Linked DNA regions of Anolis sagrei. The protein of the gene in region 4 purifies or fractionates together with the protein of the main gene of each other region. This does not show direct contact. Links are inferred from orthologs where the notes say so. Each region holds a gene or a part of one and is shown on either strand. Other genes may lie near its edges. The genes, in order: DDX5, CUL4B, PHF19 and EZH2.

What was found.
Region 1: the proteins of EZH2 (region 4) and DDX5 purify together in Homo sapiens (affinity purification with mass spectrometry; 4 studies listed by BioGRID, with this or other methods). This does not show direct contact. The link is inferred for Anolis sagrei from reciprocal best matches to the Homo sapiens genes EZH2 and DDX5.
Region 2: the proteins of EZH2 (region 4) and CUL4B purify together in Homo sapiens (affinity purification with mass spectrometry; 4 studies listed by BioGRID and IntAct, with this or other methods). This does not show direct contact. The link is inferred for Anolis sagrei from reciprocal best matches to the Homo sapiens genes EZH2 and CUL4B.
Region 3: the proteins of EZH2 (region 4) and PHF19 purify together in Homo sapiens (affinity purification with mass spectrometry; 10 studies listed by BioGRID and IntAct, counting the BioPlex papers as one, with this or other methods). This does not show direct contact. The link is inferred for Anolis sagrei from reciprocal best matches to the Homo sapiens genes EZH2 and PHF19.

Annotation. Positions count from the first base shown.
Region 1 is NC_090022.1:179,768,334-179,776,110, forward strand, and holds the start of DDX5 (probable ATP-dependent RNA helicase DDX5), read right to left. Parts: upstream 3,066-7,777; 5' UTR 2,945-3,065; coding exon 2,913-2,944; intron 1-2,912. UniProt on the Homo sapiens protein: Involved in the alternative regulation of pre-mRNA splicing; its RNA helicase activity is necessary for increasing tau exon 10 inclusion and occurs in a RBM4-dependent manner. Binds to the tau pre-mRNA in the stem-loop region downstream of exon 10.
Region 2 is NC_090030.1:3,459,913-3,467,777, forward strand, and holds the start of CUL4B (cullin-4B), read right to left. Parts: upstream 3,187-7,865; 5' UTR 2,962-3,186; coding exon 2,397-2,961; intron 871-2,396; exon of another isoform or gene 771-870; intron 1-770.
Region 3 is NC_090031.1:8,752,098-8,760,193, reverse strand, and holds the start of PHF19 (PHD finger protein 19), read right to left. Parts: upstream 3,001-8,096; coding exon 2,956-3,000; exon of another isoform or gene 2,486-2,955; intron 1-2,485. Other genes in the region: TRAF1 (TNF receptor-associated factor 1), read right to left, coding at 3,100-3,318, 7,968-8,096.
Region 4 is NC_090026.1:63,278,643-63,286,602, reverse strand, and holds the start of EZH2 (histone-lysine N-methyltransferase EZH2), read right to left. Parts: upstream 3,065-7,960; 5' UTR 2,984-3,064; coding exon 2,928-2,983; intron 1-2,927. UniProt on the Homo sapiens protein: Polycomb group (PcG) protein. Catalytic subunit of the PRC2/EED-EZH2 complex, which methylates 'Lys-9' (H3K9me) and 'Lys-27' (H3K27me) of histone H3, leading to transcriptional repression of the affected target gene.

The DNA.
Region 1 (7,777 bases), on a different chromosome or scaffold from region 4:
ATTGTTAAGTGTTTCAGTAAAATGCAAATGTTTCCCCTTGACATTCAGTCTAATTGAGTCCAACTCTGGGGGTTGGTGCTCATCTCCATTTCTAAGCTGGAGATGAGCACCATTTCTAAGCCAGCGTTGTCTGTAGACGCCTCCAAGGTCATGTGGCCAGCATGACTGCATGGAGTGCCATTAATTCGTTTTACTGTATTGTACATATAGCACTGCACTAACACATGCTTTTGGAAGCCACACCAAGTCCCTTTTGGGAGATGTGGAATATAAACAAAGTTATTAATAATAATAATAATACTATCGCTCTAATCATATCATTTGCCACCTGTGGGTTTGAGAAAGGTAGGGTAGAAATATCGTAAATGTTACTATACATGATTGTATAGTATCGTAACTTTATTTTTCTACCCCGAAGGGACTCTTGGTGGCTTACATGTGGCCAAGCCCAAGGCAACATACAATTAAAAACAAAACAATAACAAAATAGCATAAAATATCATAAACAGTAATAAACAACTATAAAAAACAACAGCAGATTAATTTTAGGGAGGGGGGGAGGCCACTATGCGAACTGGTTAAGAGATAGGGTGGTTCAATAAGGTGGATAGAAACTTATAGTAGCATACAATATTCTTCTTCTAAATAAAAATATATAATTAATAATATTAATTAATTGTGGTAGTGATATTAATATATCACTATCAACATCCAAATATTAAAACATCCAAGATTTAGAGGACAAGCAAAGCAACTGCATTTTATTGAGCTTGGCCTAATGTAAGTTGCCCCAAGTTCCCTTGGGGAGATAATGGCGGGGTATAAATAAAGTTTTATTATTACTAGCTGCCCCCTGCCACGTGTTGCTGTGGGCCACTCTGGTGGTCATGGGGGTTGTGTGTGGGAGGTTTGGCCCAATACTATCGTTTGTGGGATTCAGAATGCTCTTTGATTGTAGGTGAACTATAAATCCCAGTAACCAGAACTTCCAAATGTCAAGGTCTATTTTCCCTAAACTCCATCTGTGTTCCTAGTTGGGCATATGGAATATTTGTGCCAGGTTTGGTCCAGATCCATCATTGTTTGAGTCCACAGTGCTCTCTGGATATAGGTGAACTACAACTCCCAAACTCAAGGTCAATGCCCACCAAACTCTTCTAGTGTTTTCTGTTGGTCATGGGAGTCCTGTATGCCACGTTTGGTTCACTGCCATTTTTGGTGAGAAAATCAACTTTTTTGAGTGAAGGACATACATTGGGATGTTAGGTGTCTTGTGTCCAAATTTGGTGTCAGTTCGTCCAGTCGTTTTTGAGTTCTGTTGATCCCAAAAACGAACATTACATTTTTATTTATATAGACTAGCCATCTCCATGGGGATTCTGTGTGGGAGGTTTGGCCCAATTCTATCGTTGGTGGGGTTCAGAATGCTCTGTGATTGTACGTTAACTATAAATTGCAGCAACTACAATTCCCAAATAACAATATCAATTTATTGGAGTGATGGTCACTCCTTGGGTTAGTAGGTGACTTGTGGCCAAATTTGGTGTCAATTCGTCTAGTGGTTTTTGAGTTCTGTTAATCCCACAAACGAACATTACATTTTTATTTATATAGATATCTATGGCTGGATGGCAATTCGTCAGGAGGGCTTGGATTGCGTTTTCTTGCCCTGATGAAGGGAGTTGGAATTATTTATATAGACTATTATATAGTCTATATAGACTATTATATAGCCTATATAGACTATAGTATAGACTACAATCTATAATCTATGCACTGTGATACAGGACAAAAAGCTTGAACTGTTAAGGATGTGTGTTGTTTTTTTTAAAAAAATTGTTCCGTAATTGTTGAGTGTCTTGACGCAGAGAGGGAGTGCCTCAAAGTGGGTGGGGGAGGATTGTGAAACCGACACAATTCCGGTAAGCAGCTTTTTTTTTAAAGAACAAAGGGGATTATATTTCTTCTTTTTTTTTTAAAAAAAAGGAAGCATGGTGGACTTTCCTTCTCTGGAGTTTTTCTTTTTAAAAAAATTCTTTCCCTTCTCTTTTCTTTTTCCCCCCTTTTTCTCCCTTTCTTTTCTTTTCTTTTCTTTTCTTGAGAACCATACATAAACATCCACATCTCAGGAGTTCCACCATAACACATAATTTGAGTTTTTTCAAAGCAGATGGCTATCTGTCGGGAGTGATTGGATGGTGTATCCCCGCGTGGCAGGCAGGACGGGGTTGAACTGGATTGGCCCTTCAACTCTAGGGTTCTTTCACAGAGGGAGAAAAACGCCAAGGCGCCACTGCGCATGCGCAACCCCCCTCCCCCTTTTTCCATCGAAAGTCTCCTCTAAAACCCCAGCCGAGGAGTAAATCCGTCCCCGCTCAGCTTTTGTCTGGAAGGAATGGAGGAAGAGGGACGGAAAGGGAAGCCTGGAAGGCGGGTAGCTGGACAGGAGGGGCTCCCCTTGCTTTGAGGGCCTATTTTCCCCCGTCTACGCCACATTTTCTAAGCCGGCGCGCGTCCATTTTAACGCCGGGGCGGGGATAAGGAGAGAAAGGAGAGAGAGGAGGAACAAAGGAGGCAGCCGCCGGCATTTTGATTTCCCCTCAGCCACCGCATGGCGGGGACGAGAGACAAAAGAGAGGAGGAAAAGGAGGTCCTTCTATTTCCCCACCACAATCCTTTCAGATATTTAACCATTCCCTTTTCCTTCCCCCTCCCAGACTCAACCCGTTTCTGAATTCCCCCCCACGCCTCTCCTTTTTCCCAAACGCCCCCGCCGCCATTTTGGCCACTCTCGGCTCCCCCCGCCGCCATTTTAAATACCCCCGGCTCCCCCCGCCGCCATTTTAGAGCCCCCCCCCCCCCGCTCTTCCCCGTCAGAGTTCATCCTTCAAAAGAGCCCCCTCAGGTCTCACCCGCGGTCCCTGTCGCTGGAATAGCCAGGCATGCTGACGACGAAGAAAGGGCCTTGAACGACGGAACGGCGAGGGACACAAGCAGGCTGGGATCAACCGCAAAGCCGATGGCGGGGGCGACTGAATGGGGAGTGTCTCGCCGGGCGGATGCCGGTTATATAGCCGGCGCCGCCGCGAATGCCGGGAAGCCGGCTCGTGACGTCACTAAAGAGCCCCGCCCCTCCCTCCAGATTCCACTTCCAACGTTCTTCCTTTTTTTTCAAAGGCGATGGGGCGGGGCTACAGTGATGGGCACCTCTTTCGGCCTATAAGGAGCGCAGGAGCTGGAGCCGGCCGGCTTTTCGGCTCCTTCGGACAAAAAGGGGCGGGGCTTCCCACTCGGCCTAGTAGCCGCTGGAGCCCAGGGCGCCTTGTGAGGCTTGGCTCGGCCTCCACGGCTGACGCCCACGCAGCTCTGAGCGCGCATGCGCAGACCGGCTCTCATTCGGCTCCGGGCACTGACCCTGCTTGGTTCCTGTACGTGAGGACGTTTGTCACGCATCCTCTCTTGTTGGCTAGGGGCCCTTCCGTACAGCCATATAACCCAGAATCTCAAGGCAGGAAATCCCACAATATCGCCTTTGAACTGTGTTATTTCAGTCCACACTGCCATATATTCTAGTTCAAAGCAGATAACGTGAGATTTCCTGCCTTCATATTCTGGGTTATATGGCTGTGTGGAAAGGCCCTAGGAGGATTATATTTATATTATTATTATCTATATCTATAAAAATGCTCTGTGGATAATGAGCATCTTAAAAACAAAAGAAGCAGTGAACGAAATTATACCAAATTTGGCAACAAAACTTCTTACAACACAAGGAGTGACCACTCAAAAATTATGATTTTGTCATTTGGGAGTTGTAGTTGCTGGGATTTATAGTTCACCTATAATCGAAGAGCATTCTGAACTCTTATCAACGATGGAATTGAACCAATCTTGGCACACAGGACACCCATGCCAAACAAAAAATACTGGAAGGGTTTGGTGGGCATTGACTTTGAGTTTGGGAGTTGTAGTTCACTTACATCCAGAAAGCACTATGGACTCATACAATGATGGATCTGGACCAAACTTGGCACAAGCACTCAATACGCCCAAATATGAACACAGATGGAGTTTGGAGGAAACAGACCTTGACATTTGGGAGTTGTAGTCACTGGGATTCACAGTTCACCTACAATCAAAGAGCATTCTGAACCCCACGAACGACAGAATTGGGGCAAACTTCCCACACAGAACACCCACGACCAACAGAAAATACTTAAGGCCATCTAACCCAACTCCCTTCATCAGGGCAAGAAAACATGATCAAAGTCCTCCTGACAAAGAGCCATCAAGGAATAGATAGATAGATAGATATGATTCACACAGAGAGAGATATAGTATCATAGATTTGAAAGGGACCCCTAAAGAAGGACAATGATATCCTATATGTTCCAGGGTGGGCAAACCAGACACTCTCCGCATCAACACTGACAAAGAAACAGCAAGAAATATGCTTACCCACAACCATAAACAAATTACATATATTAGAAACCAACATTTTCTCATTACTTTATTTTCCAGATCAACAGACTGGGCCACAGCAATGCATGGCAGGGGACAGCTAGTAAAATATAAATTATAATGATTGAAACTCAACCAGAGCAAAATTTTATAAGACTGCGCCATTTTGAATTGTTTTTACCCATTATATTGTAAAATATACATTATAAATATATATATTATAAAATGGATTATATCAGAGTTTAGTTGGGGCCTATCACCCTATCTACACAGTCATTTCATGCAGTTAGGACTGTATTATATGATCTCAGGCTGGATCTACATCCAAGATTATCTGATTATCCCAGATTATTTGGCAGTGGGGACCAATCCAATTCAAAGCAGATAATCTAGAATCATAAAGAATTTGATAACGATGTTGTGAACCGGTTGCTATGAGTTTTCCAGGCTGTATGGTCATGTTTCAGAAGCATTATCTCCTGACATTACACCAGCATCTAACAAGGCTATTAATAACACAAAATGGGAAAGGAGGAGTAGAAATTAAGGTAGAAGAATAGTATAAGGAAATATGGAAATGAGCAGTAAATGATAAATTAACATTTAATTTACAGGTTTAAAAAGGCCTAAGGAAAAGTAACATTTTTAAAAGCAGATGGGAAAATATTTATTGAAGAAACATTGATAACTGACGATGTGATTGAATAATTATTTCAGTAAGGAGATGCTGAGGATATACGTTTTTATTGTTTTTATTGACTTGATATGAATTTATATTTTATATGCTAACGTTTTAAGTGTCACAATGTCTGCAGCCCCTCCCACAACAAAGAATTAAGGTCAAATTGCATACCAATACACAAATAAATATAGTAAGCAATTATATACATAACAAATAACCAGTAGACTAGAGGCTTGAGAAGGTTGCTGTTTCCATCAGGAAGAAGATTGTGTATAGAAGATTGTATGCTATACATAGCACACAAATATTACGAGATTCATAATAACTTTTCCCTCAAGATAGGTTTGATAAACTGCAGTTGTACAAGCTAAGTATCCAGATTAACTGTGTGTATCTATGTTGTATAATTAATCCAGTTTGAAACCACTTTACCTGATGTGGCCCAGTTCTGTAGGATGATGGGATTTGTAGTTTGGCAAGATCCCACAGAAGGCTAAAGACCTTGGGAAACTATAACTCCAGTGATTCCATCACATTCAGTGGTATCAGACTGCATTGATTCTACAGTGTAGATGCATCCAATGACAGCTGCACAATCAAACTGGGCCAACAGTATCCCCAGGATTTTATAAAGACCTTGCTGTGAAGTCAGAGGGGCACATAATTGTGATAAATCTATTATGAAGCAATCTAAAGGCATTCATGATCCCCTGAGCAGTTAGATGCTGCTCTTCCTCCTCCTAGTTGGGTTCCTACGCTTTTAATTGTTCAAATCCAACACAGCTTCAATAGATAAACTTTCTCCTGTCACTCCATTGCTTTGCTGGGGTAACTAGAATTTTCTAGATTTGACTTGTCAATTAAAAGCATAGTAGTCCCAGCTGAAAAAAGTATACCGACCTTTGAGATGTTCCATCGTGAAATCACTCCAAAATAACACCCCAAAAAGCTCAATTACACTAGAACAAAGGCACTCACAAGCAAGTCTATATTTTCCCTGTACCGCTTGCATGATTATAAGACGAGGCCATTACAGGCAGTCCCCAAGTTACAAAGAAGACAGTTTCTGTACGTTTATTCTTAAGTTAAATTTGTATGTAAGAACACATACATTTTGAAATGTAACTCCAGCCACATATTTCTATAAGCTTTGGACAGCATAGGGAAAAGTTAATAGCCCTGTGGTGTTTGTTTTGCTGCCCGTGACCCTGTTCAGAAGATTTCACCTCACCTTCTGTCCCTGTGATAATTGGATTTTGAAAAAAAAATAGTTTGTTGTGGAAACAAAGATTGGGGAGAAAGCTTAAGTGGAAACACCTTTTTCCCACTATAAGGAGTGAATTTTCTTTCCGAAGAGTAGATTTCTCTCACTTCCTGTTGTCTCACCCTCCTTAACTATGAGTCATTTGTAAGTCTGATGTTTGTAATTTGGGGACTCCCTGTTGTAATTTTCTGCATTATCATGTCAAACCTTGTCAATCGAATCTGCAAAGCAATGTTTTGGCAATAGTAGCAATTTATCCACTTATCATCACCATCAGTTACATCGATTGCAGAATAGTTGAAACATACAAAAGATCAACATTAACATAGAAACAATTTAAAATGTACAAGTCAATGGGTAAAAACCATTCAAAATGGTGCAGTCTTATAAAATTTTGCTCTGGTTGAGTTTCAACACACAAAACAAGACAATGTCCTCTTAAAAGTTATTTTCTTAGGTTACTATGTAATCCAGTTTCTGAATCCAGATGATTTGCTTTGAACTGGATTATCAACAGAGGCTGGACCTACGCTGCCATATAATCAGGTTCAAAGCAGATCATCTGGACTCAGAAAATTAATTACATAGCAGTATATTTTTTTTGCAAACTTTGAGTACTAAAGGTCTTGGAAACCTTTAGTGCTCAAAGTCTGCAAAAAAAAAAAAAAATTACAGGGCTTTGCCTGTCAATACAAAGACACCCAGGAGGGGTTAACATGTTGCCTGTTTATATGCCGGAAGTGAAGAGAGCAATGGAAAAGGTGTAGCAGCAATTCTAATACATTATTTTATATTGCTCGTAAATGAAAACATGAAACTGAAGGAGGAGAGCACTCACAATATTGATGGAACAGAGTACAGCTGGAAAGAAAGTGTAACCCCCCTTTAGACAATGGATTAAATGGGGCTCTTGCAGTACTAGGCAGTCACTGCATTGCCATCTTTCACAAGGGAAGAGAATACAACCGCCACAGAGGGCCTAGATTCAAATAATTCAAATTATAGGTGCTGCTACACTGTAGAATTATGGCAGTTTGACACCACTTTCACTGCCATGGCTTAAAGCTATGATACCATAAATACTGTTGTTTTTCAAGGTTTTTCTTTAGCCTTCTCTGCAAGAGTGCTGTGTCCTCACCAAACTACAAATTCCAGGATCCCAAGGCCTTAGTATTTTAGTAGGGTCTCCAAAATTATTAATTCCACACATACAACTTCCATTCTTCCATTCATTCCCACACATAATTATTAAATTAACATTTATCAAATCTGTACATTGAATTTCTTATTACAGTGCTGTGTCCTCACCAAACTACAAATCCCAGGATCCCAAAGCATTGAGCCATGGCATCTAAAGGGATATCATGATG
Region 2 (7,865 bases), on a different chromosome or scaffold from region 4:
GAGGACCCCTGTTCTAGAGCAGTGGTTCTCAACCTATGGGTCCCCAGGTGTTTTGGCCTACAACTCCCAGAAATCCCTGCTAGATTACCAGCTGTTAGGATTTCTGGGAGTTGAAGGCCAAAACCTCTGAGGGTTGAGAAACACTTCTCTAAAGCGTGTTTGGCTCGTCTCTGAAAGGTGATGCTTTTCTCAAAAGTTACGACCTCCAAAAGGTGTTATTTTTTCCTGAATGCCTTTTCCCAGAAGTGTTATGTTTTCTGCTGGGCCCCCCCCGCTTTTGGAATTCGTTGCCTAAAGAGATCAGGCAAGCCCCCACCCTAGCTGGTTTTAAGAAAGACCTAAAAGCCTGGCTCTTCCATTGTGCTTTTGGAGAATGACCATTCAACCCATCTGGTTGTCTTAGTCTACAGATACCCTCAGAACCAAGCATCCCCCCCGCCCCACCAAATGTCTAAATCCCATGGTTCCTCCCTGTTGGGCTCCTTTCCTACAAATGCACTTTCATCCCTATCTCACCCAGGGTTTTAACTTTTTAAACATTTTACCTCACATATTTGGCCCGCCCTCTGTGTCTAGTTTTAATATGCTGTTCTATATTGTTGATTTTGTTATTTTATATATTGTCATGATGTATTTTGTTACTGTGTGTTTATTATGTTGCATTCTTTTGGGCTTGGCCTCATGTTAGCCGCACCGAGTCCCCTTTGGGGAGATGGTAGGGGGTTATAAATAAAGTGTATTATTATTATTATTATTATTATTATTATTACCTTTAAAATTCTTGATGACTAACTTCTTGGCCGAGCCCGGTTTACTATTGGCAAAGCTGGAGACGCTGGACGAGGCGGCTTTGGTCAGGCCGTTCGCGTGGTGCCCAGTCTCCGGGCCTTAGTTTGAGGACCCCTGTTCTAGAGCAGTGGTTCTCAACCTATGGCTCCCCAGGTGTTTTGTCCTACAACTCCCAGAATTCCCAGTGAGTTTACTAACTGTTAGGATTTCTGGGAGTTGAAGGCCAAAACATCTGGGGACCCACAGGTTGAGAACCACTGATCTAGAAGGTAACAGTATAAAAATCTCAATAATGTTTTTGTTTTTTTTTGTATTATAGCTATGTTGATCACTATTCTTTTTCAATCTCTATATGCTGTATCCTGGAAAATAATGACTTTCTGTACGGTCATAATTTTTCAAAAAAATTAGATTTTCATTGTATTACATACACCAGTGTTTCTCAACCTGTGTGGCAAATTAGGTTCAAATCAATTGCCGGTGGAGTTCAGAATGCTCTTTGATTATAGGTGAACTATAAATCCCAGCAACTACAACTCCCAAATTACAAAATCAATCCCCCCCCCAACCCCATTAGCATTCACATTTGGGCATATTGGGTATTTGTGCCCAATTTAGTCCAGTGAAAATATATCCTGCATATCGGATATTTACATTACGATTTATAACAGTACTAAAATGACAGGTATCAAGTAGCAACGAAAACAATATGGTTGGGGGTCACCACACCACCAACCCCAGAGATCCCTCCGTTCTGAGGACCAAGATCTATTGGAAGTCCCCAGTGTCAAGACCTTGCATCTAACGGCAACCAGACGCAGAGCCTTCACAGCAGTGGCACCATCAGTCTGGAATGCTCTGCCACCTGAAGTTCATGCCCTGCAGGACTTACCAGCTTTCCGCAGGGCGTGTAAGACATACCTGTTTCGACAGGCTTTTAATGTTTGATACTGTTGTTTTTAAATTGTTTTAAATAGCTTTTAAACTTTGTTAGATTTAGCCGCTCCGAGCCCCAGAAGAGTGGCGGCATATAAGTTTAAATAATAAATAAATAAATAAAACATAGGGAACGGCATTAAGGGGTCACGGCATTAGCAAGGTTGAGAACCACTGGCTTAGAAACAAATATTTGAGAAACACTTCTCTAAAGCGTGTTTGGCTCTTCTCTGAAAGGTGACACTTTCCTCAAAAGTTACGATTTCCAAAATGTGTTTTTCTTTTCCTTTCTGAATGCCGTTTTCCAGAAGCGTTACCTTTAAAATTCTTGATGACTAACTTCTTGGCCGAGACTGGTTTACTATTGGCAAAGCTGGAGACGCTGGACGAGGCGGCTTTGGTCAGGCCGTTCGCGTGGTGCCCAGTCCCCGGGCCTTCGTTTGAGGACCCCTGTTCTAGAGCAGTGGTTCTCAGCCTGTGGGTTCCCAGGTGTTTTGGTCTACAACTCCCAGAATTCCCAGCCAGTTTACTAGCTGCTAGGATTTCTGGTAGTTGAAGGCCAAGACATCTGAGGGTTGAGAAGAGTGTGTTTGGCTCTTCTCTGAAAGGTGAAAGTTACGATTTCCAAAAGGTGTTTTTCCCCCCTGAATGTCGTTTTCCAGAAGCGTTACCTTTAAAATTCTTGATGACTAACTTCTTGGCCGAGCCCGGTTTACTATTGGCAAAGCTGGAGACGCTGGACGAGGCGGCTTTGGTCAGGCCGTTCGCGTGGTGTCCCGCGGCCACGGAAGAAAGGAGGAGGCTTTTGCTTTTGAGCTGTTGTTGTTGCTGCTGCTGCTGTTGGGAAGCAGACGAGGAAGACGAAGCCGGCGACGAAGTGGAGGAAGACTCCTCGGCCATCTTGACATCGAGTCCAATAAAATCCAAGGAGTCCTCAAAGCGGAGCTTCTTCTGCAAGTGGTGGTTGGAGGAAGACGAGGAGGAGGAGGAAGAGCAGGAGGTGGTAGCAATGGCTGAGGAAGAAGAGGAGGAGGAATGGTTCCTGGGGAGGAGAGAAGAGCAGGAGGAAGAAGAGGAGGAAGAGAGGGGCTCCGTCTCGTCCTTCTCGCTGTTGTTTAGCTTTCTCTTCTTGGAGGAAGAGGAGGAGGAAGACGACGAGGAAGAGGAGCTACTGCTGCTGCTACCATCAGTGGCAGGCCTGACCTCCTGAGCGGAAGAGAAACCTGTGGGAAACATGAACACCCCCGAGATGAGCCGCAGGCGGGCCAGAAGGACGGTCGGGCACCCGCTCTTCCTTCCTCCCTTCCTGCCTTCCTTCTCCCCGTGTCTCCGTCTCCCCTGCGAGGCCTGTCCGCCTCCCCAAGCAGGAGGCCAGCCCAGAGCCTTGTTATGGTCAGCACCACAGCCCGCTCAGGCAGGGCAGCCCCAAAAATGGCGGCGCTTCCGCCCGCGCGGCACGCCGGGAAGCCGACCCCGCCGGAAGTTGAGGAGGCGAGCAAGGAGGCGGAAGTGGCTCTCCTGCGCCCAGGCGGGGTCACGTGACGGCGCCTCCAGGCCTCCTCCACGGGGATGGCTCTGGCTCCCTTCCTTCCTTCCTCCCTTCCTTTTTGCAAGGCCAACACAGGGATGCTTCTACTCTTTCCATTCGTCCTTCTTTCTTTTTCCCTAGTTTCCTTCCCTTCTTTCCCTCTTTCCTTCTTCCCTTCTTCCTTCCTTTCTTCCTCCCTTCTTTCCTTCCCTTCTTTCCCTCTTTCCTTCTTCCCTTCTTCCTTCCTTCCTTCCTCCCTTCTTTCCTTCCTTCCCTCCCCCCTCCCTCCCTCCTTCCCTCCCTCCCTCCCTCCTTTCCTTCCTCCTTCCTTCCTTCCTTCCTTCCTTCCTTCCTTCCTTTCACAGGGATGCCTTGACTCTTTCCTTTCGTCCTTCTTTCTTCCTCCCTTCTTTCCTTCTTCCCTTCTTCCTCCCTTCTTCCCTTCCTTCCCTTCTTTTCTTTCCCTTCTTTCCTTTCACAGGGATGCTTTGACTCTTTCCTTCCGTCCTTCTTTCTTCCTTTCTTCCTCCCTTCTTTCTTTCCCTCTTTCCTTTCCTTCCTTTCTTTCACAGGGATGCTTTGACTCTTTCCTTCCGTCCTTCCTTCTTCCTTTCTTCCTCCCTTCTTTCCTTCCTTCCCTTCTTTCCTTTCCTTCTTTCCTTCCTTCCTTTCACAGGGATGCTTTGACTCTTTCCTTCCATCCTTCTTTCTTCCTTTCTTCCTCCCTTCCTTTGTCCTTCCATTCACAGGGATGCTTTGACTCCTTCCTTTCTTCCTCCCTTCTTTTCCTTCTTTCCTTCTTCCTTCCTTCCTCCTTCTTTCCTTTCTTCCTTCCACCCCCCCCCTTTCTCCCTACCTCCTGCCTTTCCTTCTTTCTTTCCTTCCTTCCTCCCTCCCTGCTTCCCCCTTCCTTCCTTCCCGCCCATCCTGTTTCCTTCCTTCCTTCCTTCCCACCCTCCTTCCCGCCCTCCTCCCTTCCCTCCCACCCTGCTTACCTCCTTCCTTCTCTTCCTCCTACCCTGCTTACCTCCTTTCTTTTCCTTCCTTTCCTCCCCACCCTGCTTATCTCTTTCCTTCCTGCCCTCCTCCCTTCCCTCCCACCCTCCTTCCCTCCCTCCTTCCCTCCCTCTTTCCCTCCCTGCCTGTTTCCCTCTCCTTCCTTCTGTTCTTTCTTCCTCCCTCCTTCCCCCTTCCTTCCTTCCCGCCCACCCTGCTTCCCCCCTCCCTCCCTCCCTCCCTCCCTCCCTCCCTTCCTTCCTGCCCTCTTTCCTTCCCTCCCACTCTGCTTACCTCCTTCCTTCTCTCCCTCCTACCCTGCTTACCTCCCTCCTTTTTTCCTTCCTTCTCTCCTTTCCTCCCTCCCACCCTGCTTATCTCTCTTCTTCCTTCCTTCTCTCCTTCCTCCGCCCCAACCTGCTTCCCTCCCCCCTTCCTTTTTTCCCTTCCTTCCCTCCCACCCTGCTTACCTCCTTCCTTCCCTGCTTCCCTCCCTCTTTTTCCTTCCTTCCCTTCTTTCTTCCCTCCCACCCTGCTTGCCAACCTCCTTCCTTCCCTCCCACCCACCCTGCTTACCTCCCCCACCCTGCTTACCCCCTCCTTTCTTTTCTCCCTTCTTTCCTTTCTTCCTTCCTTCCCTCCCTCACTCCTTCCCTGCCTGTTTCCCTTTCTCCTTCCTTCCTTCCTTCCTTCCTTCCTTCCTTCATTCATTCATTCTTTCCTTCCTTCTGAACCCCAAAACTCCAGATGATGTATCCCAGTGGCTTCATGTAGATCGGTTGTTCCCAACCTTTTGGACCCCTGACCAACAATAGTACCAAAAGGATTACAGATCAGTTTTTGGTCAACTTTAGATTCGGTTTGGTTATTTGGGGTGCTTATTCAGAAAATTGGACAAACCACCTCAGCTCTAGTTTCTAATGCAGAACATATTCTACCCAGTAGTCACCATCTGCTCATCCACAGAAAACCATATTTGATAATCTAGAGATGATGTGGTAGTAGTAATCTTTCGTGGGTAGTCAGCCTCTCCCTCCCGACATACCCGTTGCCTAAGAGAGTTTCATGAGACCAGTCATGTGGTTTTGAGACAACAGTGTAGTAACAGTAAGGCCGTGGACCATATTTTCATTCTTGCAGACCACTGGTGGTCCACAGGCTACAGTTTGGGAACCACTGAGGTAGACGTTGAATAACATTGGGGATAGCAATGAGTCCTGTGGAAGACCACAACCCACCAGCCATGAGGTCGAGCAGGACTCCCCCAGGACCACCTTCTGGGAACGGCCTGAGAAGAAGGATTAGAACCACCATAGCACATTGCCTTCTAACCCCATTCCCTCAAGCCTTCCCAGAAGGATACCATGATTGATGGTATTGAAGGCCACTGAGAGGTCCAGGACGGTTAATAGGGTCAGACTCCCCTGATCAAGTTCTCCGTGTAGATCATACACCAAAGTGACCAAAGCTTTTTCTGTTCCACGTCCCAGTCTAAAGCCAGATTGATTCGGACAGTCAACCTGATCCAGAAATCCGTATGGTAGTGTACATCCAGCCTGCCATTTTTGACAAGGACTGAGCCCAACTCCTTTCATAGTATACAACTAGAGTAGAAAGTAGCATGACAACGATAGTCTACAATGCATTATTTGTATGTCGTTGAAAGTGAGTCCAATCACATCAGTCCCTCGCATGAATCTGAACTGAAGGCAGGTTTCCATTGCTGTGGGCTGGAAAGGCAGGGCATGTTTATACGAAATAAAAGCTGGGTATAATAATAATAATAATATAGACGTGGATTCAGTGGATCAAAGACGAGCTTGAAGAGAAAGAATGATAATTTGATTTAATTTTATTTCACCTCTTTTATTGTGATGCATTATTAAATACATTAATAAATGATAAGTTATTTATTTTCATTAATCTATATAAATCAAAATGTAATGTTCATTTGTGCGATTAACAGAACTCAAAAACCACTGGACGAATTGACACCAAATTTGGACACAAGACACCTAACAACTCAATGTATGTCCTTCACTCAAAAAAATGATTTTGTCATTTGGGAGTTGTAGTTGCTGGGATTTATAGTTCACCTACAATCAAAGAGCATTCTGAACCCCATCAACGATGGAATGGAACCAAACTTGGCACACAGTTCTCCCATGACCAACAGAAAATACTGGAAAGGTTTGGTGGGCAGTGTCCTTTAGTTTTGGAGTTGTAGTTTGCCTACATCCAGAGAGCACTGTGGACTCAAAAAAGGATGGATTTGGACCAAACTTGGCACAAGCACTCAATACGCCCAAATATGAACACAGATGGAGTTTGGAGGAAATAGACCTTGACATTTGGGAGTTGTAGTCACTGGGATTCACAGTTCACCTACAATCAAAGAGTGTTCTGAACCCCACGAACGACAGAATCGGGGCAAACGTCTCACACAGAACCCCCATGACCAACACCAATACTTAAGGCCATCCAGTCCAACTCCCTTCCCCAGGGCATGAAAACGCAATTAAAGCCCTCCTGATAAAAAGCCATCCAGCCATAGATAAAGATATATATGATTCACACACACAGAGAGATAATATCATAGATTTGAAAGGGACCCCTAAAGAAGGACAATGATATGTTGAATGTTCCAGAGTTGGCAAACCAGACACTCTCCACATCAACGCAAAGAAACAGAAAAAGAAAAACAGTTTACCCACAAGCATCAAGATATTTCATATTTTAGAAACCAACACTTTCTCATTACTTTATTTTCCAGATCAACAGACTGGGCCACAGCAACGCCTGGCAGGGGACAGCTAGTAAATAATAAGTTATTTGCAGATTATTCAAAAATAATAGTAATAAATAAATTAATAAAATATTTAAAATTGAACACATAAAATTTAAGTCAACATTGGCATGTTTTCAAGCTGCTAGGATGGCAGGAGCTGGGCCTAACAACGGGAGCTCAACCTGTTCCCGGATTCGAAGTGCCGACTTTCCGGTCAGCAAGTTCAGCAGCTTAGACATTTAACCTGCTGCACCATTATTATTTATTAATTATTAAATACATTTTAATTGTTATCTCATTTAATGGTTAATTGTGTGTTAAATTTTAAACGATTTATTAATAAATAATTTAATATTACTATTTTTACAACTAAACAATTATTTATGAAAATGATGTATTTATTTATAAATAATAATATATTAGTAATGTGTGAAAAGAAATAAACATATTTATTATTAATCTATTAATAAACAAAGGATTGTTTATGAAAACAAATTGTTATTCATAAATAACAATATTAGTCATTTGTGAAATGAAATAAACATATTTATTATTTACTTGTTATTAATTACAAATAATAAACCTTTTACTGTATATGAAAACCATTATTGATTAATTTATTATTCATAAATAATAAATTATTAATCTATTAATAAACAAAGGATTGTTTATGAAAACAAATTGTTATTCATAAATAATAATATTTGTCATTTGTGAAACGTATTTATTATTTACTTGTTATTAATTACAAATAATAAACCTTTTACTGTATATGAAAACCATTATTGATTAATTTATTATTCATAAGTAATAAATTACGTATTAGGC
Region 3 (8,096 bases), on a different chromosome or scaffold from region 4:
CCCGAAACTTTATTTCCAAGCATGCAATCCGTCCGCAACCCTGAAGTGCGCATCAAACAAATCTGCGTGATAATGATGTGGATGCAGTGACAGTTCTTGTACACAGAAGCACTTGACTGATCGATTGCAGATACATCTAGTTGGGAATTTAACCCTCAGCTGTTTGTGGAACTGGGAGCCTGTCTGTGGAAGTGGGCAGCCCAGCCACACAACGTACATACGCATATAGATATAGATTATGATGAACATTATGATCAGTTTTATGCTGTACTAGCCGTCACCAGCCACACGTTGCTGTGGCCCACATAGGTGTTCTGTGTGGGAGTTTTGGCCCAATTATATCATTGGTGGGGTTCAGAATGCTCTTTGATTGTATGTGAACTACAAATCCCAGCCACTACAACTCCCAAATGTCAAGATTCTATTTTCCCCAAACTCCACCAGTGTTCACATTTGGGCATATTGAGTATTCGTGTAGAGTTTGGTCCAGATCCATAATTGTTTGAGTCCACAGTGATCTCTGGATGTAGGTGAACTACAACTCCAAAATCAAGATCAATCCTCACAAAACCCTTCCAGTATTTTCTGTTGGTCATGGGAGTTCTGTGTGCCAAGTTTGGTTCAATTCCATTGTTGGTGGAGTTCAGAATGCTCTTTGATTGTAGGTGAACTATAAATCCCAGCAACTATAACTCCCAAATGGCAAAATCAATTTCCCGCCCAATCCCACCAGTATTCAAATTAGGGCGTATCATGTATTTGTGCCAAATTTGGTCCAGCAAATGAAAATACATCCTACATATCAGATATTTACATTACGATTCGTAACGGTAGCAAAATTGCATTTATGAAGTAGCAACGAAAATAATGTTATGGTTGGGGGGTCACCATAACATGAGAAACTGTATTAAGGGGTCACAGCATTAGGAAGGTTGAGAAACACTGGTGTAGAGTTTGGTCCAGATCCATCATTGTTTGAGTCCACAGTGCTTTCTGGATGTAGGTGAACTAGAACTCCAAAACCAAAGGACACTGCCCACCAAACCCTTCCAGTATTTTCTGTTGGTTATAGAAGAACTGTGTGCCAAGTTTGGTTCAATTCCATCGTTGGTGGGGTTCAGAATGTACTGGTGAACTATAAATCCCAGCAACTACAACTCCCAAATGACAAAATCGTTTTGTTTTGTTTTTTTGAGTGAAGGACATACATTGGATTGTTAGGTGTCTTGTGTCCAAATTTGGTGTCAGTTCGTCCAGTGGGTTTTGAGTTCTGTTAATCCCACAAACGAACATTACGTATTTATTTATATTTATTATTAACTCTTTCGGGCAATATTATAATCATATTTATGGACTACTACTATGTTTTGTTATGATTGCTTTATGTTTTTGATTTTGCTTTGAGTTGTTTCATTATGCTGTTGTTGTGTTGAGGCCTTGGCCTTTGTAAGCCGAATCGAGTCCTTCGGGAGATTCTAGTGGGGTACAAATAAAGTTTAATAATAATGATTATGATGATGATGATAATAATAATAATAATAATAATAATAACAACAACAACAATGTTATACAATACTAGCCATCCCCTGCCAGGCATTGCTGTGGCCCAGTCTGGTGATGTGGAAAATAAAGTAATGAGAAAGTGTTGGTTTCTAATATATGTCATATCTTTCTGCTTGTGAGGAACCAGTATTTCTTGCTGTTTCTTTGCCAGTGTTGATGTGGTGATTGTCTGGTTTGCCTACTCTTGAACATGCAACATGTAATTGTTCATTAGGGGTCCCTTTCAAATCTATGATACTATATGTGTCATATACATATGTGTGTGTGGGAGAGAGAGAGAGAGTCAAATATATCTATAGCTGGATGGCTCTTTGTCAGGAGGGCTTTGATTATGTTTTCTTGCCCTGGTCAAAGGAGTTGAACTGGATGGCCTTAAGGCAGCATTTCTCAACCTGGGAAATCAAGACCCCGGGGGGGGGGGGGTCATGAGGGGGTATCAGAAGGGTCACCAAAGACCACCAAAAACACAGTATTTTCTGTTGGTCATTGAGGTTCTGTGTGGGAAGTTTGGCCCCATTTTGTCGTTGGTGGGAGTCAGAATGCTCTTTGATTATCGGTGAACTATAAATCCCAGTAACTACAACTCCCAAATGTCAAGCTCTATTTCCCCCAAACTCCATCTGTGTTCATATTTGGGCATATGGAGTAGTCATGCCAAGTTTGGTCTAGATCCTTCATTGTTTGAGTCCACAGGTGAACTACAACTCCCAAAAATTAAGGTCAATTCACCCCAACCGTCTCCAGTACACTTGGTTAAGTAGTCATGGTGATTTTCTGCGCCAAATTTGATCCCAGTCCATTGTCGATGAAGGTCACAGTTTCTCTGGATGTAGGTGAACTACAACTCCCAAACCCAAGGACAATGCCCACCAAACCCTTCTAGTGTTTTCTGTTGGTCATGGGAGTTCAGTGTGCCAAGTTTGGTTAAATTCCGTTGTTGGTGGAGTTCAGAATGCTCTTTGATTGGAGGTGAACTATACATCCCAGCAAATACAACTCACAAATGTCAAGGTCTATTTTCCCCAAACTCCAACAGTGTTCACATTTGGGCATATTGAGTATTGGTGCCATGTTTGGTCCAGATCCATCATTGTTTGAGTCTGCAGTGCTCTCTGGATGTAGGTGAACTACAACTCCTATAAATCAAGGTCAGTTCTGGAAGTAGGCAAACTACAATTCCAAAACTCAACTCCCAAATGACAAAATCAATATTTTGAGTGATGGTCACTCCTTGGGTTAGTAGGTGCCTTGTGGCCAAATTTGGAGCCAATTCGTCCAACAGATTTTGAGTTATGATGTCACTCAAAACGAACAGAACATTTTTATATATATAGATTATGTCCAATTCTGGATGCATTGACGCAAGACATTTTCCCAAGGAGAGTCCCAAACCTCTGTCCGCTCTTTCGATCCATATCCACCAACTTCTGTTCTCATCGCTACCAACAGCAGTCCTTGATGGTGGTTCATGGTCAAGCTCTGCTGCTTGAGATGCTTCTGCCGTTTCCGCTGCTTGAAAACTACCAAGAGCAAGATTCACGGATGGGCTTGTGTGATACACCGGAGGAAAAGGGTGCCCTCTTTGAGATAGGCGTATTTCGGTGACTGTAACTTAGCCAACAGGATGAATTTGGGAAAGCCACTGGCTTCGTTCATATCCGTCATGGGCCTCTGGAAGGAAGGTGATGCTGGATCCGGGTGGATGGTGCTGACATGATCTTCTGTGTTGTTTTGACTCAGCAGCATGAACGTGACCTGGGAAAAGACAAGCAGAATGGCTCAGGTGGCTTGTTTGTGTGGTTGCCACAACTGTTACACAGTGCATATTTTAACCCAACGTCCCAGCGCCCAAAACCCAAATGCAAAAGACCTCACTACCTCTGAGGATGTTTGCCATAGATGCAGGCAAAACGTCAGGAGAGAATGCCTCTAGAACATGGCCACATAGCCTGAAAAAACCTGCAACAACCCAGTGATTCCGGCCATGAAAGCCTTCGACAATACAAATGCAAATAGTCTCAGGCCAATAGTCAAAGTGAACAGAAAATCTTTACTCTCTTTACTTTGCAGAGATGAAACAAAACTGGCAATGCTGCACACAAAACCCAGCAGTGCAACATATTTACACAGTCTTTGTAATAAACATAAAATAAGACATCTTCATCTTTACTGAAAATGGGAAAACAAAATAAACCTGAAGTATTTATTTGTTGTGTCAGGAAAACCAGTCAATTGTATTACATTTCTAACAGAACAAAACAAACAGACAAAATACAAAATTTGCAAGTTTGGTAGTTGGTTAAATATCCTTTGACCAGTAGCTGGCTACTTGGAGTGCTTGTGATGTTGCCACAAGGAGGTCCTCCATGGTGTATGTGGCAGGGCTCAGGTTGCATTGCAGCAGATGGTCAGTGGTTTGCTCTTCTCCACATTCCCATGTCGTGGATTCCACTTTGTGGCCCTATTTCTTAAGGTTGGCTCTGCATCTCGTGGTGCCAGAGCGCAGTCTGTTCAGCGCCTTCCAAGTCACCCAGTCTTCTGTGTGCCCAGGGGGGAGTCTCTCATTTGGTATCAGCCATTGGTTGAGGTTCTGGGTTTGAGCCTGCCACTTTTGGACTCTTGCTTGCTGAGGTGTTCCAGCAAATGTCTCTGTAGATCTTAGGAAGCTACTTCTTCATTTAAGTTGTTGGCGTGCTGGCTGATACCCAAACAGGGGGTGAGCCGGAGATGTCACTGCCTTGGTCCTTTCACTATTGGTTGTATCATAGTGTTACATAGTGCAAATATGGGCCAGGCTTTAGCACAGTGTTTCTCAACCTGGGGGTCAGGAGGGGTCACCAAAGACCATTAGAAAAACACAGTATTTCCTGTTGGTCATGAAGGTTCAGAGTGGGAGGTTTGGCCCCATTCTCTTGTTGGTGGGGTTCAGAATGCTCTTTAATTGTAGGTTAACTATAAATCCCAGCAACTACAACTCCCAAATGTCAAGGTCTATTTTCCCCAATCTCCAACAGTGTTCACATTTGGGCATATTGAGTATTTGTGCCAAGTTTGTTCCAGATCCATCATTGTTTGAATTTACAGTGATCTCTGGATGTAAGTGAACTAAAACTCCAGAACTCAAGGTCAATGCCCACCAAACCCTTCTAGTATTTTCTCTTGGTCGTAAGAGTTCTGTGTGCCAAGTTTGGTTCAATTTCATCATTGGTGGAGTTCAGAATGCTCTTTGATTGTAGGTGAACTTTAAATCCGAGCAACTACAACTCCCAAATGATAAAATCTACTCCCCACCAGACCCCACCAGCATTCAAATTGGGGCATGTCGGGTATTTGTGCCAAATTTGGTCCAGTAAATGAAAATACATCCTGCATATCCGATATTTACATGTCAATTCATAACAGTAGCAAAATTACAATTACGTAGTAGCAATGAAAATAACAACTATGTAGTAACAACGAAAGTAGCAAAATTACAATTATGTTGGAGCCCCCGGTGGTGCAGTGGATTAAAGCACTGAGCTGCTGAGCTTGCTGACCGAAAGGTCGCAGGTTCGAATCTGGGGAGTGGGATGAGCTTCCGCTGTCAGCCCCAGCTTCTGCCAACCTAGCAGTTCGAAAACATGCAAATGTGAGTAGATCAATGGGAAGGTAAGGGCGCTCCATGCAGTCATGCAGGCCACATGACCTTGGAGGTGTCTATGGACAATGCTGGCTCTCCGGCTTAGAAATGGAGATGAGCACCACACCCCAACGTCGGACATGACTGGACTTAATGTCAGGAGAAAACCTTTACTTTTACGTAGTAGCAACGAAAATAATGCCTTGGTCAGAGCACACCCGGAATCACACTGCGTCTGATTCTGGGCACCGCAATTGAAAGGAGATGTTGACTCTAAGCTGGAATGTGTCCCAAGGAGGGCGACTCAATGGATCAAGGGTCTGGAGAAGAAACCCTATGAGGAGAGGCTGAAAGAGCTGGGCATGTTTATCCTGCAGAAGAGAAGGCTGAGAGGAGACATGGATGAAGATGGGAGGGGAAGTCAGGAGGGAATAATCGTGTTTTCTGCTGCCCTGGAGACTAGGACGTGGAACAGTGGCTTCAAACTACTGGAAAGAAAGGAGATCCCACCTGAACATTTGGAAGAACTTTGTAATTGTGAGAGCCGTTCAGCAGTGGAACTCTCTGGCCTGGAGTGTGGTGGAGGCTGCTTCTTTGGAGGCTTTTAAGCAGATGTTGGGGGTGCTTTGAATGTGATTTTCCTGCTTCTTGGCAGAATGGGAATGGACTGGATGGCCCACGAGGTCTCTTATTGTTTACTTTTGGTCAGATGAGAATAGGATGGAGGTCATCTACTTTTACTTTCTGTTTTCGTATTTTTTCCTGGATTTTTTTGGGTGTTTTTTACTCTATGTTTCTTTTCTTGCTCCACTTTTTTCAATTTTCAATGTAACCTCCATAAATCTGTGTGCTGCAAGGGCAGGTGCTTGTTGCATAAGCAAAAGCGGTCGTTCCCACATTTCAGGGCCACCAGATGGGAAAACAAAGCCAGATGCAAGAGATTGGGCAAAGCTGCCCAAGCAAAATATTGTGAAACTCAAATCCATTTCGAGCCTTCTCCAGGCCAAGCCGTGGCTCTCATTTAAGAAGTGTATACATAAGCATTCAAGATTCAATGAGATGTTGAACCTAACTCCGTCCTGACAAACCCTGACATCTCTCCCTGGCCTGGATTGTTTACTGAGCTCTGTTTATGTCCTGCTAGAAATGCAACATTACATGCCTGGAAATGGTGGTTACATACAAACCTTGATAAACGGTCTCTTCAACAACAAACAAGCTTTGGCTACATTCTGCACATTGGACACACGGACGATATAATAACACACAGTTGCCATGTCGTCATTTTGAGTTTGCACCCTTTGCATAATTCTGAAGTTCTATACAATATTTTATCTAGGGTGGTTGTGAGATTTCCAAGCTGCCTGGCCATGTTCCAGAAGCATTCTCTCCTGAAATTTCACCTCCATCTATGGCAGAGGTTGTGAGGCCTGTTGGGAACTAGGAAAATGGGGTTTATATATCTGTGGGATGATGTCCAGCAGGCCCGTAGCCAGGATTTTGATTCGGGGGAGGGGGCTGAGTTTGTTTTTTTTGGGGGGGGGGGAGGGTCAGGATCTACCCTAGCAAACCTTTTGTATTGTTACCCCAATACCCCCATGCATAGGGGATATTTTGAGCATGGTGATCAGATCATGATACGAATAAACATAACAGTTTAAGTAATGTACCAGTAAGGCCATCTCGTGGACCATCCTGAGAATTGGGGGGGGGGGGGGGGCTGATTGTAGAATAACTATAAATCCCAGCGACTACAACTCCCAAATGACAAAATCAAATTTTTTGAGTGATTGTCACTCCTTGGGTTAGTAGGTGTCTTGTAGCCAAATTTGGCAGCAATTTGTCCATTAGTTTTTGAGCTATGTTAATCCCACAAACAAAGATTACATTTTTATTTATATAGATACTAGCTGTTCCTGCCACGCATTGTTGTGGCCAATCCTCCCTCCCTCTTACTCTCCTTCCTTCCTTCCTTCCTTCCTTCCTTCCTTTCATTCTTTCCTTCCTTCCCTCTTTTTCTTTCCCTTCTTTCTTCCTTCTCTACCTGTTTCTTTCCTCCCTTCCTTTGCTTTTTGGTTCCATCTTTCCTTCTCCCCTCCCTTCCCTCCCTCCCTCTTTCTCTCTTTCATTCATTCTCTCCTTCCTTCCTTCCCTCTCTCTTTCCTTCCTTCTTTCACTTTTTTATTTCCTTCTCTCCTTCCTTCCTTCTCTACCTTTCTTTCTTTCTTTCTCTCCTTCCCTCCTTCTTTCCCTCTTTCTCTCCTTCCTTCCTTCCTCTCTCCCTCCCTCTTTCTCTCTTTTATTCCTTCTCTCCTTTCTTCCCTCTCTCCTTCCTTCCTTCTTTCACCTTTTTATTTCCTTCTCTCCTTCGTTCCTTCTCTTTCTTTCTTTCTTTCTTTCTTTCTTTCTTTCTCTCCTTCTTTCCTTCCTTCCTTCCTTCCCCCTTTCTGTGTATATGTGTTTTGTGTGTATATATATGCATATGTGTTTATATATTTGTGTATATATGTAAATATGTGTGTTCGGGTATATATGTGGTTTTGCGCATGCGTTGTAATGTATTTTTTTGTTTTTTGGCTTTTAAAGTCTCTTCTGCTGTGTTTTTCAGTGTTTTTATGAGTGATGGTCACTCGTTGGCCTGATAGCTGTATTGTGTCCAAATTTGGTGTCAATTCATCCAGTGGTTTTTGAATTATGTTAATCCCACAAACAAAGATTACATTTTTACTTATATAGATATATTATACACATATACACCAGGCAAGGAAAAGCCCCGTCTCTGTACCTCGTGTGCGAAGGGCCACTGGAGCAGGGCGTCGTATTCCCCTCGGAGCAGCACAAGGAAGAGGGAGACGTGGGAGCCCTTGCTTCTCCCGTCGCCGTTCAGGTAAATCCTCATGCAGAGCTTGTGACC
Region 4 (7,960 bases):
AAACACTGAAAAACATAACAGAAGGGACTTAAAAAGCCAAAAAAGCAAAAAGACACTACAATACATGCACAATAACAACTCCCTTTAGCAAACAAAACACACAATAGCATATCCACCCTCTCTTCTGGACTACAGTTCCCAGTATCCCCTAGACCCGGCCCTTTAGAGGAGGAGGATGAGCCAAATGCACTGCTTCCAAGCTGCAAGCATTCTTCTCCTTGGATGTCTTTGAAAGCATCCCAATCCCTGCATATTTCCAATTTCCTATTCCTGGACTGCAACTCCCAGCAATCCTCCAGATAGATAAGATAGATAGACAAATAGGTATGTGGATAGATTGATCAGAAGGAGTGCTGGGAGGTGCAGTCCAAGAATAGGCAGAGAAGGAAGAAAGCGGAGAAAGAGGAAGGGAAAGAAAAGGGGGGAAGGAAGGGAAGAGGAAGACAAGGAAGGAAAGAATGAAAGAAAGGGAAGGAAGGAGAAAGAAAAGAGGAGAGAAAGAGGGAGGGAAGGTTGGCCACAGCAACACATGGCAGGTACAGATAGCAAATAAATAAATATTGATACAAGCTGACCCATTTGAGGGTAGGGAGGGGGGATTCAAAGGGAAACTAACATTCTATATTGAAAAAGTAAAAACTGAAACTGTAACATAGTTACAAAAATTGAAAATAGTCATCTATATTAATTCATATACTGTCAAAGTTTGTACTATGATGTATTGTTAACTGCATGGTTTTCAAAAAAAGTAAACAAATAAGGGGAGGGGAAACTACCTTACACCTAGCTGAACGTTGTTTTTTCTGGTAAGCCATGTCTTATCATGATATGACCCTCACTGTGGAAGAACATGCGTGTCAAGAAGAGGGCTCTATAGCCACCTAGATATCCACCACCAAGACACAACACTTGAAGGGCCAACATATTCTGGCAAGGAGAGATCACCTAAGTCAGTGCTTCTCAACCTTCCTAATGCCACGCTCCCTTAATACGCTTCCTCATGTTATGGTGACACCCAACCATAAAATTAGTTCCATTGCTACTTCATAACTGCCATTTTGCTGCTGTTATGAATAGTAATGTAAATATCTGATATGCAGGATGTATTTTCATACACTGGACCAAATTTGGCACAAATACCCAATACACCCAAATTTTGAATACTGGTGGGATTGGGGGAGGGTACTGATTTTGTCCTGTGGGAGTTGTAGTTGCTGGGATTTATAGCTCACCTACAATCAAAGAGCATTCTGAACTCCACCAAGGATGGAATTGAATCAAACTTGGCACACAGAACTCCCATGACCAATAGAAAATACTGAAAGGGTTTGGTGGGCATTGACCTTGAGTTTTGGGAGTTGTAGTCAGAGGCGGCCCTAGGTAATTTTCAACGGTAAGCAAACCAACCCACCCACCCACTCATTGATATATATTTTCTGTTCATCATGGAAGTTCTGTGTGCCCTATTTGGTTCAATTCCATCATTGGTAGAGTTCAGAATGCTCTTTGATTTTAGGTGAACTATACATCCCAGTAACTACAACTCGCATATGTCAAGGTCTATTTTCCCCCAAGAGCGCCCCTGGTTGTAGTTCACCTACATCCAGAGAGCATTGTGGACTCAAACAATGATGGATCTGGACCAAACTTGGCACGAATTCTCAATATGCCCAAATGTAAACACTGGTGGAGTTTGGGGAAAATAGACCTTGACATTTGAGAGTTGTAAGTGCTGGGATATATAGTTCACCTACAATCAAAGGCACGCATTCTCAATATGCCCAAATGTAAACACTGGTGGAGTTTTGGGGAAATAGACCTTGACATTTGAGAGTTATAAGTGCTCCAAAAAATTGACGAATTTGTGATCATCCAGCGGCTCCTACACAATTATATGATAACAGGATTTATAGTTCACCTACAATCAAAGGCACGAATTCTCAATATGCCCAAATTCTCAATATTCCCCAAACTGGTGGGGTTGGGAGGAAATAGACCTTGATATTTGGGAGTTGTAGTTGCTGGGATTTATAGTTCACCTACCATCAAAGGCCCGAATTCTCAATATGCCCAAATGTAAACACTGGTGGAGTTGGGGGAAAACAGACCTTGACATTTGAGAGTTGTAGTTGCTGGGATTTATAGTTCACCTACAATCAAAGGCATGAATTCTCAATATGCTCAAATGTAAACACTGGTGGAGTTTGGGGAAAACAGACCTTGACATTTGGGAGTTGTAGTTGCTGGGATTTATAGTTTACCTACAATCAAAGGGACGAATTCTCAATATGCCCAAATGTAAACACTGGCGGAGTTTGGGGAAAATAGACCTTGACATTTGAGAGTTGTAGTTGCTGGGATTTACAGTTCACCTACAATCAAAGGCACGGATTCTCAATATGCCCAAATGTAAACACTGGTGGGGTTGGGTGAAAATAGACCTTGACATTTGAGAGTTGTAAGTGCTGGGATTTATAGTTCACCTACAATCAAAGGCACGAATTCTCAATATGCTCAAATGTAAACACTGGTGGAGTTTGGGGAAAACAGACCTTGATATTTGGGAGTTGTAGTTGCTGGGATTTATAGTTTACCTACAATCAAAGGCACGAATTCTCAATATGCCCAAATGTAATCACTGGCGGAGTTTGGGGAAAATAGACCTTGACATTTGAGAGTTGTAAGTGCTGGGATTTATAGTTCACCTACAACCAAAGAGCATTCTGAACCCTACCAAGGATTGAATTGGGCCAAACTTCCCACACAGAACCTCCCTGAGCAAGAGAAAATACTGTGTTTTCTGGTGGTCTTTGGTGACCCCTCTGGCGACCCCTCCAGGGATCCCGACCCCCAGGTTGAGAAACACTGGCCTAAGTAATGCCAATGAGTAATGTCTCTCTCCCTCCCTCCCAATGAGGCGCCCTCACCTGCTCACGAGCACGACTTCAGTCATTTCCACCTGTTTTCCCCGTAGCATGTTCATTTTCCCGGGCTCTTCATTCACTCTCCTGTAGACTAGCTTCGCCTCTCCCCGCTTACCTTTCCCATTCTCTCCCCATTGAGGAAGGCCCCGCCCCACCTGTCTTTCACAGGAAGCCACGCCCCCTCGCTCACTTGTAGGCGCCCCTCCCCCCCCTCCCACCCCCAAGCACGACAAAGAACTCGAAGCGGGTGTGTCTGCCTGTCTCTGTCCGGCTCCCTCACTCGCTCGCGCGCTTACCCCCTCCTCGCCGGGCCCGCGGCGCCCCTCTCTCGGCTCGCCTCCCGTCCGTCACGCCGCCCCGCTCACTTCTCCCTTCTTCTCCTTCTTCTTTCCTCCTCCTCCTCCTCTTCTTCGGCTCCGGACAACAGAGCGCCAAACCCGGCGGCGGCCAAATGGCCCCGGCTCTCATTGGAGAGAAGCTGCCGTCGTCCGGATTGGACGAACCGCGCTCTCCCCGCCCCCCCGTAGCCGGGTCTCAGCCAATCCTCGGCGTCCTGGGCCCGAGGGGCGGGGGCTTGCGCGCGCCCCCCACGTGCAGGGCGGGAAAGAGGGGGAAGTTCTTTGTTCTCGCGCTGTTTAGAAGAAGGCGGGAGTTGCCTCGGTTCCTCTTTTTCAAATGTGGTTTCTTCGCTGGGCGCGCGGGGCAAGCTCTCTCCCTCAGGAGGAAGTGGACCGCCTCAGCCCCGTTGCAAGGCAGGAGGGCGGGAGGCCGTTAACGGTTCTAACAGCCGTGGCTGCCTTTGCGCGCGCGCGGCCGGGGGGAATGGGGGAGCCTGGCCGCCCCTCAGGCGGGGCTCTGCGCCCGGCCCCCTCGACGCCTGTTGCTGGATTTGGGGGGGGGGGGGGGGAGGCCTGTTTCCACAAACAGTCGGGTCTGGCTTACAGTTGAGGTGCGTCTCTCTCTCTGCTGCTGCTGTTAGGAGCCACCATTGTTGTGGAGGTACAGAACCATCTTGAATCCGACTATCTATATAAATCACACGCATAAAGACATTACATATATTAGAAGCCAACACTTTCTCATTACTTTATTTTCCAGATCACCAGACTAGGCCACAGCAACACTTGGCAGGGGACAGCTAGTATATATAAAGAAAAAGGTAATGTTCGTTTGTGGTATTCACAGAAGTCAAAAACCACTAGATGAATTGACACCAAATTTGGAAACAAGACACCTAACAACCCAATGTATGTCCTTCACTCAAAGAAATTGATTTTGTCATTTGGGAGTTGTAGTTGCTGGGATTTATTGTTTACCTACAATCAAAGCATTCTGAACTCCACCAATGATGGAATTGGGCCAAATTTGGCACGAATATTCCATATGCCCAAATATGAACACAGATGGAGTTTGGAGGAAATAGACATTGGGGATTTCTAGTAATGTAATCAGAGCCATCCAGTCATAAAGATAGATACGATTCTCTCTCTCACACACACACACAGATATAGTATCATAGATTTGAAAGGGACCCTTAAAGAAGGACTATGATATGTTGCATCCTTGAAGTGACTGGACTGACCTTGAAGGAGCTGGGGGTGGTGACGGCCGACAGGAAGCTCTGGCGTGGGCTGGTCCATGAGGTCACGAAGAGTTGGAGGCGACTGAACGAATGAACAACAACATGATATGTTGCGTGTTCCACAGTAGGCAAACCAGACAATCGCCACATCAACACTGGCAAAGAAACTGCAAGAAATACTATTTACTCACAAGCATAAAGACATTACATATATTGGAAACCAACACTTCTCATTGCTTTATTTTCCAGATCACCAGACAGCCACAGCAACGCGTGGCAGGTGACAGCTTGTTGTTGTTCATTCATTCAGTCGTCTCTGACTCTTCGTGACCTCATGGACCAGCCCACGCCAGGGCTCCCTGTCGGCCGTCACCACCCCCAGCTCCTTCAAGGTCAGTCCAGTCACTTCAAGGATGCCATCCATCCATCTTGCCCTTGGTCGGCCCCTCTTCCTTTTACCTTCTACTTTCCCCAGCATAATTGTCTTCTCTAGGCTTTGCTGTCTCCTCATGATGTGGCCAAAGTACTTCAGCTTTGTCTCTAGTATCCTTCACTCCAATGAGCAGTCGGGCTTCATTTCCGGAGGATGGACTGGTTGGATCTTCTCACAGTCCAAGGCACTCTCAGAACTTTCCTCCAACACCACAGCTCAAAAGCATCGATCTTCCCTAAGGTCCAGCTCTCACGTCCATAGGTTACTACAGGGAATACCATGGCTTTGGCTGCTGCTGTTAGGAGCCACCATTGTTGTGTAGGTACAGAACCATCTTGAATCCGACTATTATTACTATTTATTTATATTTTTATCCCGCTTTTCTCCCATACCTGGGAGAACTGTGGTTAAAACAACAGAAATCCCATGACACAAAAAGCACAACATCACCTCCCCACAAAAAAAACATAAACAAATAGCACCTTGCATAAACCAGAAACAACAAATAATAATAAGTACCAAACATGTGCGCCAGCTGCGCCCGTACCTTGGGAAGTCTGACTTGACCATGGTAGTCCACACTCTGGTTACATCCCACATAGATTACTGCAACGCACTCTACGTGGGGTTGCCTTTGAAGACTACTCGGAAGCTTCAAATGGTTCGGCGCTCCGCAGCCAGGTTGCTAACAGGAACGGCACTCAGGGAGCATACCACTCCTCTCTTGTGCCAGCTCCACTGGCTGCCAATCTGCTACCGGGCACAATTCAAGGTGCTGGCGTTAGCCTATAAAGCCCTAAACGGTTCCGGCCCTACTTACCTCTCCGAACGCATCTCCACCTATGAACCGACTAGGACATTAAAATCATCTGGGGAGGCCCTGCTCTCGATCCCGCCTGCATCACAGGCGCGTTTGGCGGGGACGAGGGACAGGGCCTTCTCGGTGGTGGCCCCTCGGCTGTGGAATGCCTTACCTGTAGACATCAGAAAGGCCCCTTCGCTGTTGGCGTTCCGGAGGAAGGTTAAGACTTGGCTTTACGAACAAGCGTTTGGCTAAACAGTGCAAATGAATACAGGAAAACGGTAAAATCGAACATAGGAAAAAGGTACAAGGATTATGAGAACGGATTCTGATTTGCTGTTGAGGCGTTATGATATGATAATGATTGTTTTTGATTTTGTCTGTTATGGGGCCTGCATCAATAGGAGCATAGTGTCTAGATCTAGGGAAGTAATGCTACCCCTCTATTCTGCTTTGGTTAGACCACACCTGGAATATTGTGTCCAATTCTGGGCACCACAATTCAAGAGAGATGTTGACAAGCTGGAATGTGTCCAGGGGAGGGCGACTAAAATGATCAAGGGTCTGGAGAACAAGCCCCATGAGGAGCGGCTTAAGGAGCTGGACACATTTAGCCTGAAGAAGAGAAGGCTGAGAGGGGATATGATAGCCATGTATAAATATGTGAGAGGAAGCCACAGGGAGGAGGGAGCAAGCTTGTTTTCTCCTTCCCTGGAGACTAGGACGTGGAACAATGGCTTCAAGCTACAAGAGAGGATATTCTATCTGAACATGAGGAAGAACTTCCTGACTGTGAGAGCCGTTCAGCAGTGGAACTCTCTGCCCCGGAGTGTGGTGGAGGCTCCTTCTTTGGAAGCTTTTAAACAGAGGCTGGATGGCCATCTGTCAGGGGTGATTTGAATGCAATATTCCTGCTTCTTGGCAGAATGGGGTTGGACTGGATGGCCCATGAGGTCTCTTCCAACTCTTGATTCTATGAGTCTATGAGTCTATGTATAATGTGTTTTAATTGCTTATGATACTGTTGTGATAACCTGTATTATGTAAACCGCATTGAGTCGCCTAACGGGCTGAGAAAAGCGGTATAGAAATAAAGTAAATAAATAAATAATAAAGTGTTCCGCCTTGGATTAGACCACACCTGGAATATTGTGTCCAATTCTGGGCACCACAATTGAAGAGACAAACTGGAATGTGCCCCGAGGAGGGCGACTAAAATGATCAAGGGTCTGGAGAACAAGCCCTATGAGGAGCAGCTTAAGGAGCTGGGCATGATTAGCCTGAAGAAGAGAAGGTTGAGCGGAGACATGATAGCCATATATAAGTATGTGAGAAGAAGCCACAGGGAGGAGGGAGAAAGTTTGTTTTCTGCTGCCCTGAGAGGGATGAGAGGAGAAGTCACAGGTCCACAGTTTGGGGGTCCTCCTGGACTCATCACTGTCGCTTGAAGCTCAGGTGTCGGCGGTGGCCGGGAGGGCCTTTGCACAATTAAGACTCGTGCGCCAACTGCAACCGTACCTCGTAAAGGCGAATCTGGCCAGGGTGGTCCACACCTTAGTCACTTCCAGATTGGACTACTGTAATGCACTCTACCTGGGGCTGCCCTTGAAAACGGCCCGGAAATTTTAATTGGTCCAACGAGCGGCAGCCCGGTTGCTAACTGGTGCTTCTTACAGAGAGAGGTCAACCCTCCTGTTTAAAGAGCTTCACTGGCTGCCTTTCATTTTCCGGTCCCAATTCAAGGTGCAGGTGCTTACCTACAAAGCCCTAAACAGTTTGGAAACTGCCTACCTGTGTGACCGCATCTCTGTGTACGAACCCACACGATCTCTTTGTTCATCTGGAGAGGCCCTGCTCACGATCCCACCTGCATCGCAAGCGCGATTGGTGGGGACGAGGGATAGGGCTTTCTCTGTGGTGGCCCTTTGACTCTGGAACTCTCTCCCCAAAGACATGAGGCAGGCCCCATCACTAGCAATCTTTAGGAGGAGCTTGAAAACGTGGTTGTTCCAGTGTGCCTTCCCAGAATAGGAAACTCCTAGCATTATGTCCCAACGCACTTTATCAGAGATCTAGGATATCTGCATGCCCATCCCCCTCCAAACACTCTACATGGTCATGCCCAACACTTTTAATTTTAATTGTTACATTTGGCCCTGCCATTGTTTTTAATTGTGTCATTGTGTGTTGTCAATGTTATTGCTTTGTTTTCTGAGTTA